Cricetulus griseus: one gene and its partners. The protein of the gene in region 3 interacts with the protein of the main gene of each other region in a biochemical or structural test. Links are inferred from orthologs where the notes say so. Each region holds a gene or a part of one and is shown on either strand. Other genes may lie near its edges. The genes, in order: Csn2, Mapk12, Htra2 and Xiap.

Region 1 (4,002 bases), on a different chromosome or scaffold from region 3:
AGATGTATCAATTTTTAAAATTTTAATTTGACTTGAAAAATGTGAGCAACAAGCAATTTACTGAGGAAAACAAACTATCAAAGTTCAACTATTATGTAAGTGTGATTTAATAGTGGAACTTGACACTATTCAGAAAAGCATTGATTTGAAGGCAACCTCTTCTACTATACAGCTTAAGCAGTGGTCCAATCAGTTGTTCCATATCTCACTCCACTTATCTTTGAACTAGAAATGCCCTTAAGACTAGGTAAACATAAAGTACAAATGTTTTCATAAACCAAATGTGAATTAAAACCATTAACTCTACTAAAGGCCAATTAATTGCATTCATGGAAAAAAATTAAGATTGTGTTCAGCTTACAGGTGAAGAAAATGAACTATAAAGAGACTAATAAGCAATATTATTCTTCTGGCAGGTGTTCAGTATAGGATTTCTGCCACATTCTCAATGTGTCCTTTCATCATCATATTCATTTAGAAAATAAAAAGGACATTGTTTCTACTGGGGAAATGCTTATGTTAATTATTAAGAACAGATAATACCACTAGTAACTGCAATCATGATTTAGAAAATACATTGACACTTGAGTATGCTTTCATAGCACTGGTGGTATATGACCACTGTTTGCTATGAACATACATGCTATAATTATTTTCTGGCATTCATTACACATCACAAAACCAAGACATAAACTCTTCAAGAGCAATTTACCCTTGCTTGCAGCTGTTCCATTTGTCCAACCATCTGAAGTTTCTGTTAGAAACAAAGTGTACATTAAAAATCTCAAAACTTTTATCTTCATGAATAAATCATGGATATTAAATATAATGGGTTTACCTTACTGATGCTTTCAGAAGATTCCTTCAGAAAAATAAAAAAAATAATTAATTTTTACTGAGTAAATAGTATTTTCAATGGGTATTAAAATTAAGGTATCTGGTAAGCTATTTTAATAGGTTACTAATAGGAAAATTGATGAAATCTTATATTTAAACTATCTAAAACATTTTGTATAAGCCTATTGTATACAAGAAAGATGAGTGTCATCAAGAGAGAAAAGTGAATGAGTGAGCACAGTATATAAAGAGACATCTAAGCAATGTTAATTCCCTTTACAACCATAGTTCTTTCTCTGGCTACAAATGATCTTTAAATCCCATTTAATTCTTAAAACCAAACACAGAAACAGAGTTGAAAATACAGTCTAATGACAGCTAAGAGTACTTATTATAGTACTTGCTAATATACTAGCCTCCAAATAAACTATGAGAAACAAACACTTCCTCTGAGCATTTGTAGAATTCTGAAAAGAAATGTATATAATTGTATTCACTAATAAACAAATGATAACACATACAAATAAATAGTTCAAGGTAAAGACTGAGTGTATCTATTTGATACACTCAGGTACATTTAGGACTATATTGCATCTTACTTTTTTATTTACCTAATGACAACTTTAATAACCAAATGCATCCTTTTGCAAACAGGCCTACCCAGTATAGCACATGTATGTATTTCTATTGGTATCTGTCTTTAGTTTGGACTGTAGCTACTAGCCAATGAGCAATCCATAAAAAGCACATAGTAATAATAAAAATGCATGTCAAATTAGGGAGAGCTCTTGGCAGAGAATACGATTGTGAGCTTCTCAAATAAAAAGGTGTAGAAGAGGCAGTTAAAAATTTCAAATAAGAAACTAACTTGGAAAATTCTAATTATGCAGCTATCTAGATATTTTTCTTCCCAATACAATGCACAGCATATTTACCAAACAGGAATATGTTATAGTGTGGCTAACACAATGTAACTCAACAGAAAAGAAGCACTTTGGTGTTCTAAGTCTACAAGTTGCCTCTGAGACAGAATTGCTTTCCCTCACTGCTGGAAATGCTCTCAGTATGCAAAAACATTAGTAATACAAATGTGTTAATTTATAGATCCAATTAGGACTTCCAGATCATTAAAAATATAGTTATTTTAGGATTAAAATTTTTTCTCAATAAAACCTCTTACCTCAGAGGATATGCTGAGTGATTCCTTTTGTAAAAAGAAATAAAAGTACTTATTAGTGACAAAATCTACCTTGCTACTAAATATCCTTCCTATTTCATTTTTATGTCATCTACCTCTTTCAGAAACTTAAAAACCAAAAAAGTTATAAGCCTTTTAGAATCTTGAAAACACATTTACTCTCTCTAATAATTTAATAATTTTTATTGGCACATTCCTACATTGGATGAACTTGGGGAATTTTTGATGAGTGAGGAAAAAAGAAGTTACTTTAATTTCTACTAGGCATTTTTTTATTATGCCTACAAGTCTACCACAATTCTTGAATATGTTCCTTCCTCTGAATTTCCCTTTGGGCAGACACAGTAAGACTTGACCTGATTATCAAAGAAATGCATGCACTTTATCACCAGAATGAGATACTGAAGCCACGTGTGTGAGTCTACTTCTGTGGAGTTATATTTACTTGATGTATTTCTATTTTCTTGTTTTACTTCTTGTCTGTTTTACTTTTCATTTGGAACTGGTGGTCCAATAACACAATAAGCATTTGTTCCAGTTTTGAGAGCCTATAGGAACTTTGGGACAACAAAACTTTGTGACTCTCAAAGAAGCATTGATTAAATAAACAGATCTGAAGCTCTCCATTAATTACACACTGAGCCATCACTACTGTTACTGTCTACAAGTGAGAGGACCGTTCACTACATCTTAATTACATAGGAAGCTTCTTTACCCACCTCACTAGCAAGAGCAAGTGCCACAAGGCAGGAAAGTATGAAGACCTTCATGGCTGTCAGGTCCTGTGAATGAAAAGATGAACGAGTTGTAAGGGATGAGTCAATTAAAATCTACTCTGGCTCCTAAATATCCTATGTCTAACATCAAATTCAGACTTCAGCAGCTACCAGCAGTATTTTCTGCTCACAGCTCTCTTCCTTTCTTCTTTGTTAGCACTCTATTGTTAATGGGAGTATGGGCGCCTTACAAAACTATGAAGAAGTCATGACTATGGAACCCTTTTAATGAAAAAACTATTCAGCATTTCCAGATTATGAAGACATCAGCACTAGGGAGCCTCACTTCTAGAGTGAAATAATAGACTGTGCATAAACTGTTGTGTTGCTGGTGAGTGATCTCAGCATGAAAAATAAAAATTTAGATATGTTTACAAAGCATTCTTTCCAATACTTGACGGTGGAAAATTATTCCATTAGTAAAAAGCTGGTTTGGGTTTTTTGGATGGATGCTGCATAATTCATTAAGAACCTTTCCTTGTCTAAAGACTCCTCCATGGGTTTCCATATAATTTAATTGTCTTAGTTTAAAAGAAATTTGTACCCTTGTAGATTATGCATGTAGGGAGAATCCCACTGCAATTCTTATATTTTATCCTTACCATTTTATGTATCCATCTTTAAACTGGAACTTTGTTTTTACCTGGCACACTATAAGCCACTTTTCTTTCAACTCATCTTATTTCCATAATCATGGTTTCAAAGTAATATCTAATCTTCCTACAATTATTTTACAAACAGAAGACTTTGTCTCTATTTTTACAATTGTTAATATCTCACATGTAAAACATTATGAGCTAGATCAAGAATTCCAAGACTCTGGACAAGTTTTACGGTTGTAATCTTCTTGTGTACAAAACATGTAATTTGTTGCTTCTAATTGTTGCCCAAGAAATATCAATCTTTCCATGATATAATTTGAGTACATTTTATTACTAAAGAACAGCAAATCAAATAAGATAGCTTATTAAAGAAGTCAATCCTTAGTCTCTTCTTTATACCATTCACTGGCCTTGTATTTATTGTTACATGTTCTTGTTTTCATAAAGCCAATAGCCATTGTAATTTTTACCAAATCTTTCTAGACATTTCTATATTTTAAGCCTTGCTTTTAAAATAATCTCATTACTTCTTAAATATCTAATTTCAAAAAACTGTAATTATATTATTTCCATTATTTCTAGTCTAATT
Region 2 (4,195 bases), on a different chromosome or scaffold from region 3:
CTGTCAGCTCAGCCCCCACCCTGGTACATTTGCCCACAGACACAATCTATTTTTAGATGCTGACAGCCGGGATACTCTGGGGGGAGGTGCAGTCTCAAGTCTAGGTTGACTCCAGGCTTCTGAGCAATCCAACCCCTTAGTCCCCCCCCCCTTTTACTCCTCCTCAATGAAGCAGACCCAAGACCAAAGTGGGGACAGTCCCTTGGGAGGAACAAATACCTAGTAGGTTCTTCCCGGGGCCATCCCCTGGCTATCTAGGCCAAGGAGAAGCACCAATTTAAACACAGCTTCTGGTTGTGGGAGTTGGACAACAGATGGACAATGTGACATCAGTTTCCCAGTACTTGGGAGGGGGACCGGAACTCTGGGGTCAAGAGAGGCCTCCCTGATGAGTGCTGCATACCCAACTATCAGGAGGGACGAGTGAAAGAACAAAGAGAGGCAGGGTGCCTGATGGCCAAAGTAGGACAGAAAACACCTTCAGAGTAAGGAACAGAGAAGAAGTCCAAATAGCTAAAGCCCAGGCCAATACAGAACCAAGGAGAAGGCAGAAGGAGCCAAAAGAAGGCCTCAAACTCACATCCCAGAGGAAGATTTGGCTTTGCTCCACAGAGCTGCTATGGAAGGAAACAAAGATAAAATGCTGAGGCTGAGCAGTGGTGACACACACCTGTAATCCCAGCACTCAGGAGGCAGAGGCAGGTGGATCTCTGTGCATTTGAGGCCAGCCTGATCTACAGAGTGAGTTCCAAGACAACCAGAGTTGTTACACAGAGGAAACCCTGTCTCAAAAAACCAAAGAGTGAAAAAAAAAAAAAAAAGATAGGTATATACTCTGGATTTCAGTGAAAGGACAAATAGAATGAGGCAAGAATAGACAGGAGGTAGAGGGCAGCTGAGTGATCACTTTAGGCATGGCCAAAGTTGGGAGTAAGAACATGGACAGGAAAGGCTTGGGGGCAGATAAACCACAGATGTGACCTGAGAGCTTAGTAGAATATATAAGGAATAGGGTCCTAGAGGTCAAGGTAAGTCCACCAAAGGCATAAGACTTCTGCACTTTTGTGGTTTAGATGTGACCCAGAGCCAAGGACCAGAGCTTGAGGAGAAAGGGAAGAAGACTAGAGCTGGATCTGTGGCAGCCCCATTTCTGGTAAGTAGAGCATACAGCCTGTCCAAACCTCAGTTTCCACACGAGAAGGGAGATACAATGGCAGCTTCCCAGAAGGTGCTGAGGAATCCTGAAAGCTAGCACACCCAGGCAAGGGTTATGGGTTGACCCACAGACTCACTCAGGAGTGGGGAGTGAATGAAGAAGCCCACAACCCTTGGCTGGAGAAAGGTTCGGGATAAGTAGGTGGCTAGGTGGGATTGGGCTTGAGGATAGGGGTGGCTACACCCATGAGAACAAAGCCTTTTACTGTTTTGTCTGTTTTGGTTTTTCAAGACAGGGTTTCTCTGTGTAGCCTTAGCTATCCTGGAACTCACTCTGTAGACCAGGCTGGCCTTGAAATCACAGAGATCCACCTGCCTCTGCCTCCCAAGTTGTTTGATTGTTTTGTTTTTTATAACTGTTTACAGATTTATGGGGAAGTGGGGAGGCAGACAAAGCAGGGCTGACGTCCATCTTAATCAGGCTTCATGAAGAAAAGAAATAAAGGTCCAACACATCAACCAAGAGTGGCAATGACGAAGCAAGTTTGCTGTTAGACACAGGGAGATCATTGTTCCATGGGGTTACTGACTCTGATGACCCAGGAGATTAAAACATACTTCAGGACTAGTGCAACTCCCCAGATGTCAAGTGAGGGGGAATGGAACTCACAGCCTCAGGAAGAACCATATGAAGACAAAGCCCCCAGCTGAGAGGATTCTGATGGCTAGCAAGGCTGATATGAGAGGCACAAGGGCAGCCATGTGCAGTATCCTACTATGGGCAGGTGAAATCGGAAATGCGATGCTGACAGAAGAAATACACACCCACAGTGGTGACTGTAACTCTCTGTTCCTTAAACCCTGCTCTTCTCCTTAAACCCCGTATCCATAGAGACTGGAGGCTTTGGGGTGATAGAGCCAGGGTGCATAATTCTAGTGACCTGCCTGGCTGGAAGTGGGCAAGAGAAGGCCTAGGGTGGGGAAGAGACGCCCCTTCCAGGAAAATCCTCTTCCCACCAACCTGAATGGAGACAGGGTTTGGAGTAAGACTTGAGGAGCCCTTAGGACTAGAACATACCCTGACCACTGCCTGGGCCGAGAAAGTAGAGGTGGACGGAAGATGAAACCAAGCCACTGAAGCCGGGCATGAACTTGCAGTGTCGCTCAGAAAGGGGTCTGGAATCTGTCTCCACTTCCCTCCTGGAAGCTGCTAATAGCTTTTTCAAGCTGGAGGCTAACTAGGTACCAGGCTTCAGGAAGCAGAGGTAGTGGACAGGATTGCAGGGGAGGGCAGGATGAGAAGTGGCCAGTGCACAATGTCCGCATCTGGGGCGGGCGTTGGACTCACGTTCTCGTGGCGCATATGTTTGAGGAGGCGCAGCTCTCTGTAGGCGCGCTTGGCAAACAGCTCCGACTGGAAGGGCCGGTACAACTTCTTGATGGCCACCTTGTTACCAGTGCGACTGTCTATTGCAGAGCTGCGGGGCGGACAGCTTGGCTAGAGAACCCGCCCCGTAATCGCCAGCCGCCGCCTGCCCTGCCTGCTGCCCCGCCCGGCGAACGCTCACCACACTGCACCATAGGCACCAGAGCCAACGGGCTGCAGGTCCTGGTACACGGCGCGCACCTCCCAGGCCGTTTTGGTCACCTCCTGGCGATAAAAGCCCTTGCGGGCGGGTGGCGGGGAGCTCATCCCCGACTGGAGCACCGCGCCCCAGGACCCGACCCAAGATCAGGGGCTCAGCCCGTGCGCCCCGGGTCACTGCGTGGAGGGCGGGCTCCTCACTGCCCGCCCGCCCGCCTTCGGGGCTTTCCCTTGCGGGCTCTTCTCTTGGGGTCGTCACCCTGAACTCTCTGTAACCGCCAACACCCACCCGGCCCTTGTCTCTGGCCAGCGAAGTGGTTCCTCCCGGCCCACTGACCAACCGGGCCCCCGAGCCCTGAGCACGTGACACCCCCGTCTGCCCTCCGGCCCCTGCGGAAACCCGAGGAGGCCTCTGGGGTTGGGCGGAAGGCTTGGGAAGGGAGGGCGGGGGAGAGGGGGAACTGCCCCATAGCTCTCTCGCGACCTGGGGCGGGAGGTGGCGCTGAAACACCCTGGATGGCCTCTATCCCTCTATCCTCACTAGACATCTCGGCCCTGGGCTCTTAGCAGGTGCTTCTCTGGATTCCAACCTTTCCTGTCCTTCCAGAACGCCGGGCCCATTCTAGGCAACTTGAGCTCACCAACTTTTACTCCATCCCCAGGTCAGGTCCACCTGCCATTTACCAATCACACCCCATCCCAATTGTTTTTCTGTTCCTGGTCAACTCTTCTTTCCCAAGGATGCCCCGCCCCTGGAGCTGATCCATTCATCTCTTCTATGAAGGAAGTATTTGGTTCTGTGTCCCAGACATCTCAGGTTGCGTACCCAACCCCATTGTGGCCACTAGCTCTCAGTTTCCTAATCTAGGAACCAGAGGTATTGGTCATACAGACCTTTCTAGGGCCTCTACACCTCTGTTCCCAGCCTTGGCCCCTACCTGGTATATGGAGTGCCTGCTTCAAGCAAAGACTAGGAGTGGCCCCTCTATCTATTCCACCTGTTATCCAGCTTAGCCTTCAAAGCCCGGAATGAGCTAAAGGCATGCCTGCTCCCAGGAAAAAGAGGGGCTTCTATGTGAACTTTCAGCCTGATGCTTCCATGTGAGCTTTCTCTCTGGGGTCTGTCCTAGACCTGAACCAGATGCTCCCAGAGGGTAAAGCCACCATCCTTCCCACAGCCTAGCGATCAAAGGCCATTCCAGGATCCCACTGGGTTGATGAGTAGTAACAAGATCCCCCAGAAGGCTCTTCCCCTCCCTCCGTGCCTGCCTGCCTGCCTGCTGCCATGAATCAGCAGCTCAAGGCCAGCCAGGGCAGCTTTGCGCCTGGGCTGCTGCTAGTGGCACATTCACAAGCAACCACGAGTGAGCAGGGGAAGCCAGGCCACTCAAGCCACATCTGCCTGTATCCTGTGTCCTTAATGCCCTTCATGCCTCTGGCCACCCACCAATATTC
Region 3 (4,145 bases):
ACCAGGCCGAAGACCAGCCCTGTGGAGGATGAACATGGCAAGGAAGGAGTACACAGCTGCGTTCAAGGATACATGCACCCCATTCCACCCCACCTCACAGAGCAGGCTTTCCATCACCTGTGTGCAGGGGAGCCCAGGATAACTTTATGGATGAGGACACCATGCTGAACATCAGGGAAGCTTGGTTCTCGGAGCTGTAGTTCAACAAGGATGCTGAAAGGGCACAGACCACCCTGTTAGGTATACCCAGGCCCTCTCTCATCCTGACAGTTCACTTTTTTGGCCTTCTAGCGCTTAGGAAGTGGGAAAAACACATGAAAGATAGCTAATTCCAAATGATACAGTGTTAAACTACATGTCTGTCATTCTACTTTAAGGAAGGGGTAGAACTTAAGCTGAGCCTAAAAGGATGGGTCCTATTAACCATATGAAATAAGAAGGTATTAAGACATAGAAGTGAGCTGGGTGGTGGTGGGCTTTAATCCCAACACTCAGGAGACAGAGGCAGGCAGATCTCTGTGATTTCAAGTCCAGCCTGGTCTACAGAGCAAATTTCAAGACAGCTAAGGCTTCACAGAGAAACCCTATCCTGGGGGTGGCAGGGGGACAGGGGTGGGGAGGAGGGGGGGGGACAACACACAGGTATGGAAAATCAAAGTAATCCAGAAGAAGCAACAAGGCAAGTCTTCAAGGTAATCAGAGAGAGTTGGAAATAGAAATAGCTCTTTTAATGCTAGATCAATGAAGTCTCTAAATCACAGCAGTAACATGACGCAATCAATCTAGTAAAAAGGTACAAGATGCAATAGGATGAAAAAGTTATGATGAGAGGGAACAGCTCTTGTGACAACAACTCACCGTAGATAGACAGACATGAAAACAAAACCCATAACAGAATCCACCTGTAAGGCACAGACACACTTGTGGTCCTACATATCATGATCCCTAATATACCTGGGAGTCAGAGTCAGCATCATCACTCCAATGTAGCGGCGCTGGGACCCACTGATTCCAAACCAGGAATCTGTAAAAAGAGGGCAAATGAGCCCACCCAGCTACATCCTTCTTTCCCTTACCTCCTGCCAGTAAAGCCCTCTCCAGCAAGTCCCAATGAACCGCCCCTCCCCTATGTCCCATCATAAGTAAGAAAGGCTCACTTTTCTTCTCCCCGCGGTGCAGAAACTCCCTAAGGCGATCAGAAGGGATGGCAAAGGAGATTCCAGCTGTCACCTTCATGGTGTTCACTCCAATCACCTCCCCATCCTGCAGGGACACAGCCCTCTGTCCCCTAGCCCACACAGATGGCAGAGTAGCAAAGATTTGGGGGCAGGGGTCTGATTGGATACGAGGAGATAAACAAGAAACTACAGAAACTTAACTAAAAGTCCTTGAATGTTAGAAACACCCAACCTTCCCACACTGACCTGGCGTATGGATTCTTAGAAGAGCATGGCACTCACCAGGTTAACTAGGGGGCCTCCAGAATTTCCAAACTGTGGGATAAGATGAAAGAAAACATCAAAGAGATCTGGAATTCTATGCCTCTGGGAATTCTCTCACTGTAGGCATAACCAGGGTATAGGGAAATTCTTCAGATTCTGTTCCCAGCCCATGAACTAGAGTGGCTGCATTTTGCAGTCCAACGTCTAATATAGGCCCAGCTACATTGGAGTTGGTGCACACACCAGACAGACAGCCATTCTCCCCAGCTCCCACCCAGCTCCAAACTTCTCTCATATCAGGACGCACATCAATAGCTGCATCGGTCTGAATGTATTCCACGTTGTTTTGAGGGAGTCCGAGGTCCCTGGCTGGACGCTGAGCAGAGCTGACAATACCAGATGTGATCGTGTTCTGCAGTGCAAAGGGACTTCCCATGGCAACAACAAACTCCCCTTGCCGGACATCAGCAGAGCGGCCGAGGGGCAGTGTGGGAAGAGGCTCCTTAAGGGAAACGAGTACGCCAAAACTGGTCATTTTAAGACGGGAGCAAGTAAACAGCTGCCATCAGATCCGGCCTACTCCATTCCCACCTTGGTCTGAATCCTCAACGTGGCAATGTCCGCTACAGGATCCACAGCTGTAACCACGGCCTCGTATGTGTCTCCACTAGGCAGCCGCACTCGCACTCGGCGCCGGTCAGCCACCACGTGGGCGTTGGTAACGATGAGCCCATCTGAAGCCACTACGAATCCTGAGCCGTTTGAGATGGGGACTTCGCGGCCTGAGAAAGGGTGCCTGGGATGGGGGAAAGCACCGGTTACACTTCTGCTTTCCACCCCATCCTGCTCACTTGCCTTAGGGCAGTTGGTTTCAACACCTCCCGGTCAACTTCACCATTACCGATCCAGGATTTCGATATAGACCACGGCTGGGGCTGTCTTCTCCACCACATCTGCGATGAAATTGTACTGGCTCCGGGGAGAGCTGGGCGGCGGAGCGGGGACAGCGGCCAGCACCGCGGGAGGACCCCGCCCCCAGCCCCACAACAGCAGCAACATTGCTCCCCCTGCGCCCACCGCCACCGCCAGCCATTCGCGCCGACGGGGGCCGGGGCTCCTGCGGGCCTCCTGGGCACTGGAGCCTGCAGTCCCCACGGCCAGCCGTGCCCAGAGATCTGGGGTCCCAGACGTCAGACATGCCCGTGATGCAAGGACCCCCACAGGCACCCGGGCCGGGAGAGGGTCGGGACTTCCTAACGTCAGCAGAGCCTGAAGGTCAGGGGTAAAAAGGGGGCCCTTCCCCCAGAAGATGCCCCCCAAAGCCCGCCAAGCCCGAAGGCTCCAGCCTGCACCCCGCCCCGCCTTCAGCGCAGCCATCAGCTCCGCCTCGGCTCTCTCCTTGCCCGCCCTACTCAGAGGCGGTGCCCTGAAGCCCAGCAAGCCGACTGGGAGAAGCGAGGCACGCCGGTATCTGTCCGGTGCATGCCGGGAATTGTAGTTCTTTCAGGACGCGTTGTCCGGGGCGAACACATACACGCAGACTTTACGCCTCCCGGGGGCCGCAAGGCATGCTGGGAGCGCTTGCCCTTCCGGGGCGCCTCTGGACCTCCGGTTCTGGCATCCCCCGCGGATGCCCAAAGACTCCGCCTTCCCAGGAGTCCCCGCGGCCCTGCGAAGATGGCGGCGACACCGGCCCTGCTTTCCTGAGGCGGCTGCGATGGAACCTCCTCCAGCTCCGGGGCCGGAGCGGCTCTTTGACTCGCACCGGTAAGCGCTGCGGAGGGAAGAGGCCGGTCAGCGCGTTCTCTCGGCTTCGGCGCCTGATCGCGTCGCCTCTCGCCGCAGGCTCCCGAGCGACGGCTTCCTGCTGCTCGCGCTGCTGCTCTACGCTCCGGTCGGCCTGTGTCTCCTGGTTCTGCGCCTCTTCCTAGGGCTCCACGTCTTCCTGGTCAGCTGTGCTCTGCCCGACAGCGTCCTCCGCAGGTGCGGACTGCGGTGCCCCGGGAGCATCGGGGCTGGGCCTGGGTCAAGACCGCACAGTCACTGCCGCCTGTGTCCCCAGGTTCGTGGTGCGGACCATGTGTGCAGTGCTGGGGCTCGTGGCCCGGCAGGAGGACTCCGGACTCCGGGATCACCGCGTCAGGGTCCTTATTTCCAACCATGTCACACCTTTTGACCACAACATAGTCAACCTGCTCACCACCTGTAGCACCGTGAGTGGGGGCGAGGCCGAGAGCGCCACCGGGTGGCTCCCCAGGCCCGAGCTCAGTGCTCACCTCTACCCATTAGGGTTCTCTTGGGGAACACCGATCTTTTCCCTCACCCCATAAGCACCACCCCACGTGTTACCTTTTTTCTTCTTTCCTGTTTGACATCCCCCCCCCCCCCCGTTCTCTCCTTGCTCTCTCTCCTCCCTGCTCTCAGCCTCTACTCAATAGCCCCCCCAGCTTTGTGTGCTGGTCTCGGGGCTTCATGGAGATGGATAGGCGGGTGGAGTTGGTGGAGTCACTCAAGAAATTCTGTGCTTCCACAAGGCTTCCGCCCACACCTTTGCTGCTCTTCCCTGAGGAAGAGGCTACCAATGGCAGAGAGGGGCTGCTGCGTTTCAGGTGGGTAAGCACAGATCTCTGACTCCAGTTTAGTGGACTGTGTCAAGCTCCTGGGTGAACCTGCTCCAGTTCATTTCCTGTCTGTCCACTTTTA
Region 4 (3,563 bases), on a different chromosome or scaffold from region 3:
ATCAAAAACACATCTAGAACTAGGGTTGTGTTTCAGTGATGGTATGTTTATCTAGTATATAAAAGTTCAGTTCCAGCCCACAAAAACAAAGGTTCTATAATATTTCTAGAGAATGTTTGGTGTTTAAACATCCTTAAAATGCACACTTTTCTTTATATGACTAATGAGATTCTTGCTCTGGGATTGGATTAATATTTGTAAGTTAAAATATAACTCAAACAGCAAAATCTAACTTGATAAATTATAAAATGTAGCATCTTTTTAGTGTATTCACCAGGTTGTACAACCATCACTATTTAATGTCATCACGTCAGAAAGAAACCTTATACACATCCATCAGCAGTCATTCTCCATTTTCCTACTGCTGGCCCTGACAAATACTGGTTTTGGACATTTAATATATGTGGAGTCATCTATGTAGCCTCAGGAGTCTATATTGTTTCATGTATGAGTGCATCAATCTTTATTGTTTTGCAACGGGGTCTAGTGCATCCTAGGCTGGCCTTGAATTTGGTAGATAGCTGCATATGACCTCGAACTCCTAGTCCTTCTAGTTTGTCATAGACCTGCACTACCATACTAGGTTAATGTTTTGCTGGGGTTTAAACACCAGGGCTGCAAGTATACTAGGCAAGTACTCTTCCAACAGCCCTTTCCTCATCCCCTGGTTACTTTTCTTACCTGTTTTACCTATCTTGCATTTTTCTTTACAAGTTTGGGAATCAGAGCCACAACAACACAACACACAAAATAGGCAAACACTCTACCACTAAACTACTCCTCAGCCATATCATAGTCTTACAGCCCTAAACTGTTTTACTGTTTAGTCATGTTAATGAAAATACTTGTGTCTGCTATGTTCTTTCTCCACCCAACTTTGATTTCAGATGATACCATCTTCCAGAATCCTATGGTACAAGAAGCTATACGAATGGGATTCAGTTTCAGGGACATTAAGAAAACAATGGAAGAAAAGATCCAAACATCTGGGAGCAGCTATCTGTCCCTTGAGGTTCTGATTGCAGATCTAGTGAGTGCTCAGAAAGATAATACACAGGATGAGTCAAGTCAGACTTCATTGCAGAAAGGTATGCATTGTTTTTTTAAACAAAGATAACTTTGCAGCCCATTCATTTCCTTTTTCTAATACCCCTTGGCATAAATATTTTTACTCTTATTACGATAAATTTCAAACATACACAGAAGTAGAAAGAACAGTGAATCAGCTTCAATAATAAGCAACTCTTTCCCATCTTGATTCTGATCTTCTATCTTTCTGGCCTTAGCACTTCAAAGGAAATATAAGGCATCCTGTGTATCAGCATCTACGAATACTTTGATATACTCAACATAGAAGGCTATTTTTTCATTATGCCCTCAGTGCTGTGTTTCTTGGGCTATTATAACAAAATTCCATAAAACATGTACCTTAAACAAAATGCATTTGTTTCTCAAAGACTGAGAAGGCCAAAATCTAGGTCTTCCTGCAGATAGTTGCCTTCCCAAAGTAGTGTGTATAACCTCTCAGGTCTTTCTTCTTTACTTACAAGAATGCTAATTCTCCCAGGAGTTCTCATGCTCATGACTTTATATAAACCTAATTGTATTCGAGCATTGCTTAACAATGAAGATACATTGTGAGAAATGCATTGTTAAACAATCTCATAGTTGAATGAATGTCATCAAATATACTTATACAAACATAGATGGCATATGTCAACCACTTGATCTGGGTTCTTGATGCAATCCTGCTACTTTGTGAACATGATATGTTCCATGAGGCTTCTGCTGACATGATATGGCATATTGTTTCATGGTAGTTTTATTTATATGAAGGAGTATATTCTCATAAAAAGTATGTAAGGAAGTATATAAACCATTAACTGTATGCTGTGCTTTCGTCTGACTAGCAACTCAGGAGGTTGGTTAATGCCAGCATCATCACAAACATGAGTCATTATGCCATAGCATTAGTCTGGCTGAAACATTACTACATGATAGGATTTTTTCAGTTCACTTGTGATCTTCTGGAACAAATACATGTTTTCTGGTTTACCCAAGCATTGTTCAATAGCTCATTACTATACTTCCTAAAGCCCTTCCTCTGAACATCACTATGTGGAACATTAAAGCTGCAACATATGAATGTTAGGAACACAAACATTCAGTCCATATCACACTGTTATCACACTTGACAAATGTAATTCACTAAATCATCAGAAACCTAGTTGGTTTTAATACCCCTCCTTTTTTTAGTGCTGTATGTTTGGCTCAGGACCTGATTACATGTTAAGCAAGTACTCTACCAATGAGCCACACCCCTCATTTCTCCAGTTTTGTTTTGTTTTGTTTTAGTTTTTTTTGTTTTTCGAGACAGGGTTTCTCTGTGGCTTTGGAGGCTGTTCTGGAACTAGCTCTTGTAGACCAGGCTGGTCTCGAACTCACAGAGATCTGCCTGCCTCTGCCTCCCGAGTGCTGGGATTAAAGGCGTGTGCCACCACTGCCCGGCCTTCTCCAGTTTCTTAAAACATTTCTATACTTGATCCGTTTTTAAATGCCTCAATTACATGTGGGTGGGTGGGTGGGTGGGTGGGTGGATGGATGGATGGATGATGGATGGATGGATAGATAGGTTGGTTTCTGGGTGTTGTCATACATGTACATATGTACTTACAGTTACCCCCATTCCTTCCACTAATGCCCTTCTAATTCCTTCCCCCCACCCATTGTGACCCAATGATTGATTGATATATATATAATTTATTTGTATGTGTGTATGCTCGTATATGTAAAGGCCAGAAGTTAACCTCAGGCGTTATTCCTTGGGTGCCACCTTGTTTTTTAATGGATAATCTTTCAGTATCTGTAAGTTTAAATAAAATGTCTTCGATAACCATTAACTGTGTATGAATTCTTAGGGAAGAGTGAGGCTCTATGAGCTTCTCCCCTTTACATGACAGGTTGTTTGTTGGCCTAATCTTGGAAGATCTGGTACAGGAATCACACTTTAATTATTTTTTTTTGAGATAGTGTTTCTAACACAGCCTGGTTTTGAACTACTTAATAGATGAGGATGACCTTGAATTTCTGTTCCTCCTACCACTGCCTCCCAAGTTCTGGGATTACAGGCATGCAACATTATACCTAGTTTATGGGTTGTTTGGGATTGAACCTAGGACCTTGTGTATACTAGACAATTATCCCCAGCCTTGATTTTAAAAGTATGAGTATTTCTTTTGATTGTTTGAGATGGGATCTTGCTCTGCTGGAACTCACTTTGTAGACCATGCTGACCTCAAACTCAGAGAGCTACCTGCTTCTGTTTCCCAAGTGTTGAGGTTCTAACCCAAACACTACTGTTGTTTGGGTTAGAATATTTTAGACAAAGAACAACAGAGGCTTTTACTGTTGTGGGTAAAATCTAAGTTTTGTAACTGAAACAGTTTGGTTTTAAGTGTTCTTCAGCTGTTCATATATGAAAACAAGAGAGGGTTTTACTGTTAAGTAGGCTTTGAATTAAAATACTTCCTAATACTCTATATTTTGTAGAGAAAGCCAGTGAT

The links.
Region 1: of the proteins of Htra2 (region 3) and Csn2, one has a biochemical effect on the other in vitro, tested with the Homo sapiens proteins (2 studies listed by BioGRID). The link is inferred for Cricetulus griseus from reciprocal best matches to the Homo sapiens genes HTRA2 and CSN2.
Region 2: of the proteins of Htra2 (region 3) and Mapk12, one has a biochemical effect on the other in vitro, tested with the Homo sapiens proteins (2 studies listed by BioGRID and IntAct, with this or other methods). The link is inferred for Cricetulus griseus from reciprocal best matches to the Homo sapiens genes HTRA2 and MAPK12.
Region 4: the proteins of Htra2 (region 3) and Xiap form a complex in vitro, tested with the Homo sapiens proteins (10 studies listed by BioGRID and IntAct, with this or other methods). The link is inferred for Cricetulus griseus from reciprocal best matches to the Homo sapiens genes HTRA2 and XIAP.

What each region holds. Positions count from the first base shown.
Region 1 is NW_023276807.1:152,937,205-152,941,206, forward strand, and holds the start of Csn2 (beta-casein), read right to left. Parts: upstream 2,806-4,002; coding exon 2,734-2,805; intron 2,042-2,733; coding exon 2,018-2,041; intron 863-2,017; coding exon 839-862; intron 755-838; coding exon 713-754; intron 1-712. UniProt on the Homo sapiens protein: Important role in determination of the surface properties of the casein micelles.
Region 2 is NC_048595.1:385,892,139-385,896,333, forward strand, and holds the start of Mapk12 (mitogen-activated protein kinase 12), read right to left. Parts: upstream 2,849-4,195; coding exon 2,724-2,848; intron 2,634-2,723; coding exon 2,504-2,633; intron 1-2,503. UniProt on the Homo sapiens protein: Serine/threonine kinase which acts as an essential component of the MAP kinase signal transduction pathway.
Region 3 is NC_048601.1:74,225,767-74,229,911, forward strand, and holds the start of Htra2 (serine protease HTRA2, mitochondrial), read right to left. Parts: upstream 2,859-4,145; 5' UTR 2,820-2,858; coding exon 2,344-2,819; intron 2,239-2,343; coding exon 2,034-2,238; intron 1,945-2,033; coding exon 1,750-1,944; intron 1,494-1,749; coding exon 1,461-1,493; intron 1,264-1,460; coding exon 1,158-1,263; intron 1,025-1,157; coding exon 955-1,024; intron 214-954; coding exon 118-213; intron 20-117; coding exon 1-19. Other genes in the region: Aup1 (ancient ubiquitous protein 1), read left to right, coding at 3,073-3,209, 3,288-3,425, 3,505-3,655, 3,867-4,051.
Region 4 is NC_048604.1:25,903,435-25,906,997, reverse strand, and holds part of Xiap (baculoviral IAP repeat-containing protein 4), read left to right. Parts: intron 1-887; coding exon 888-1,088; intron 1,089-3,563.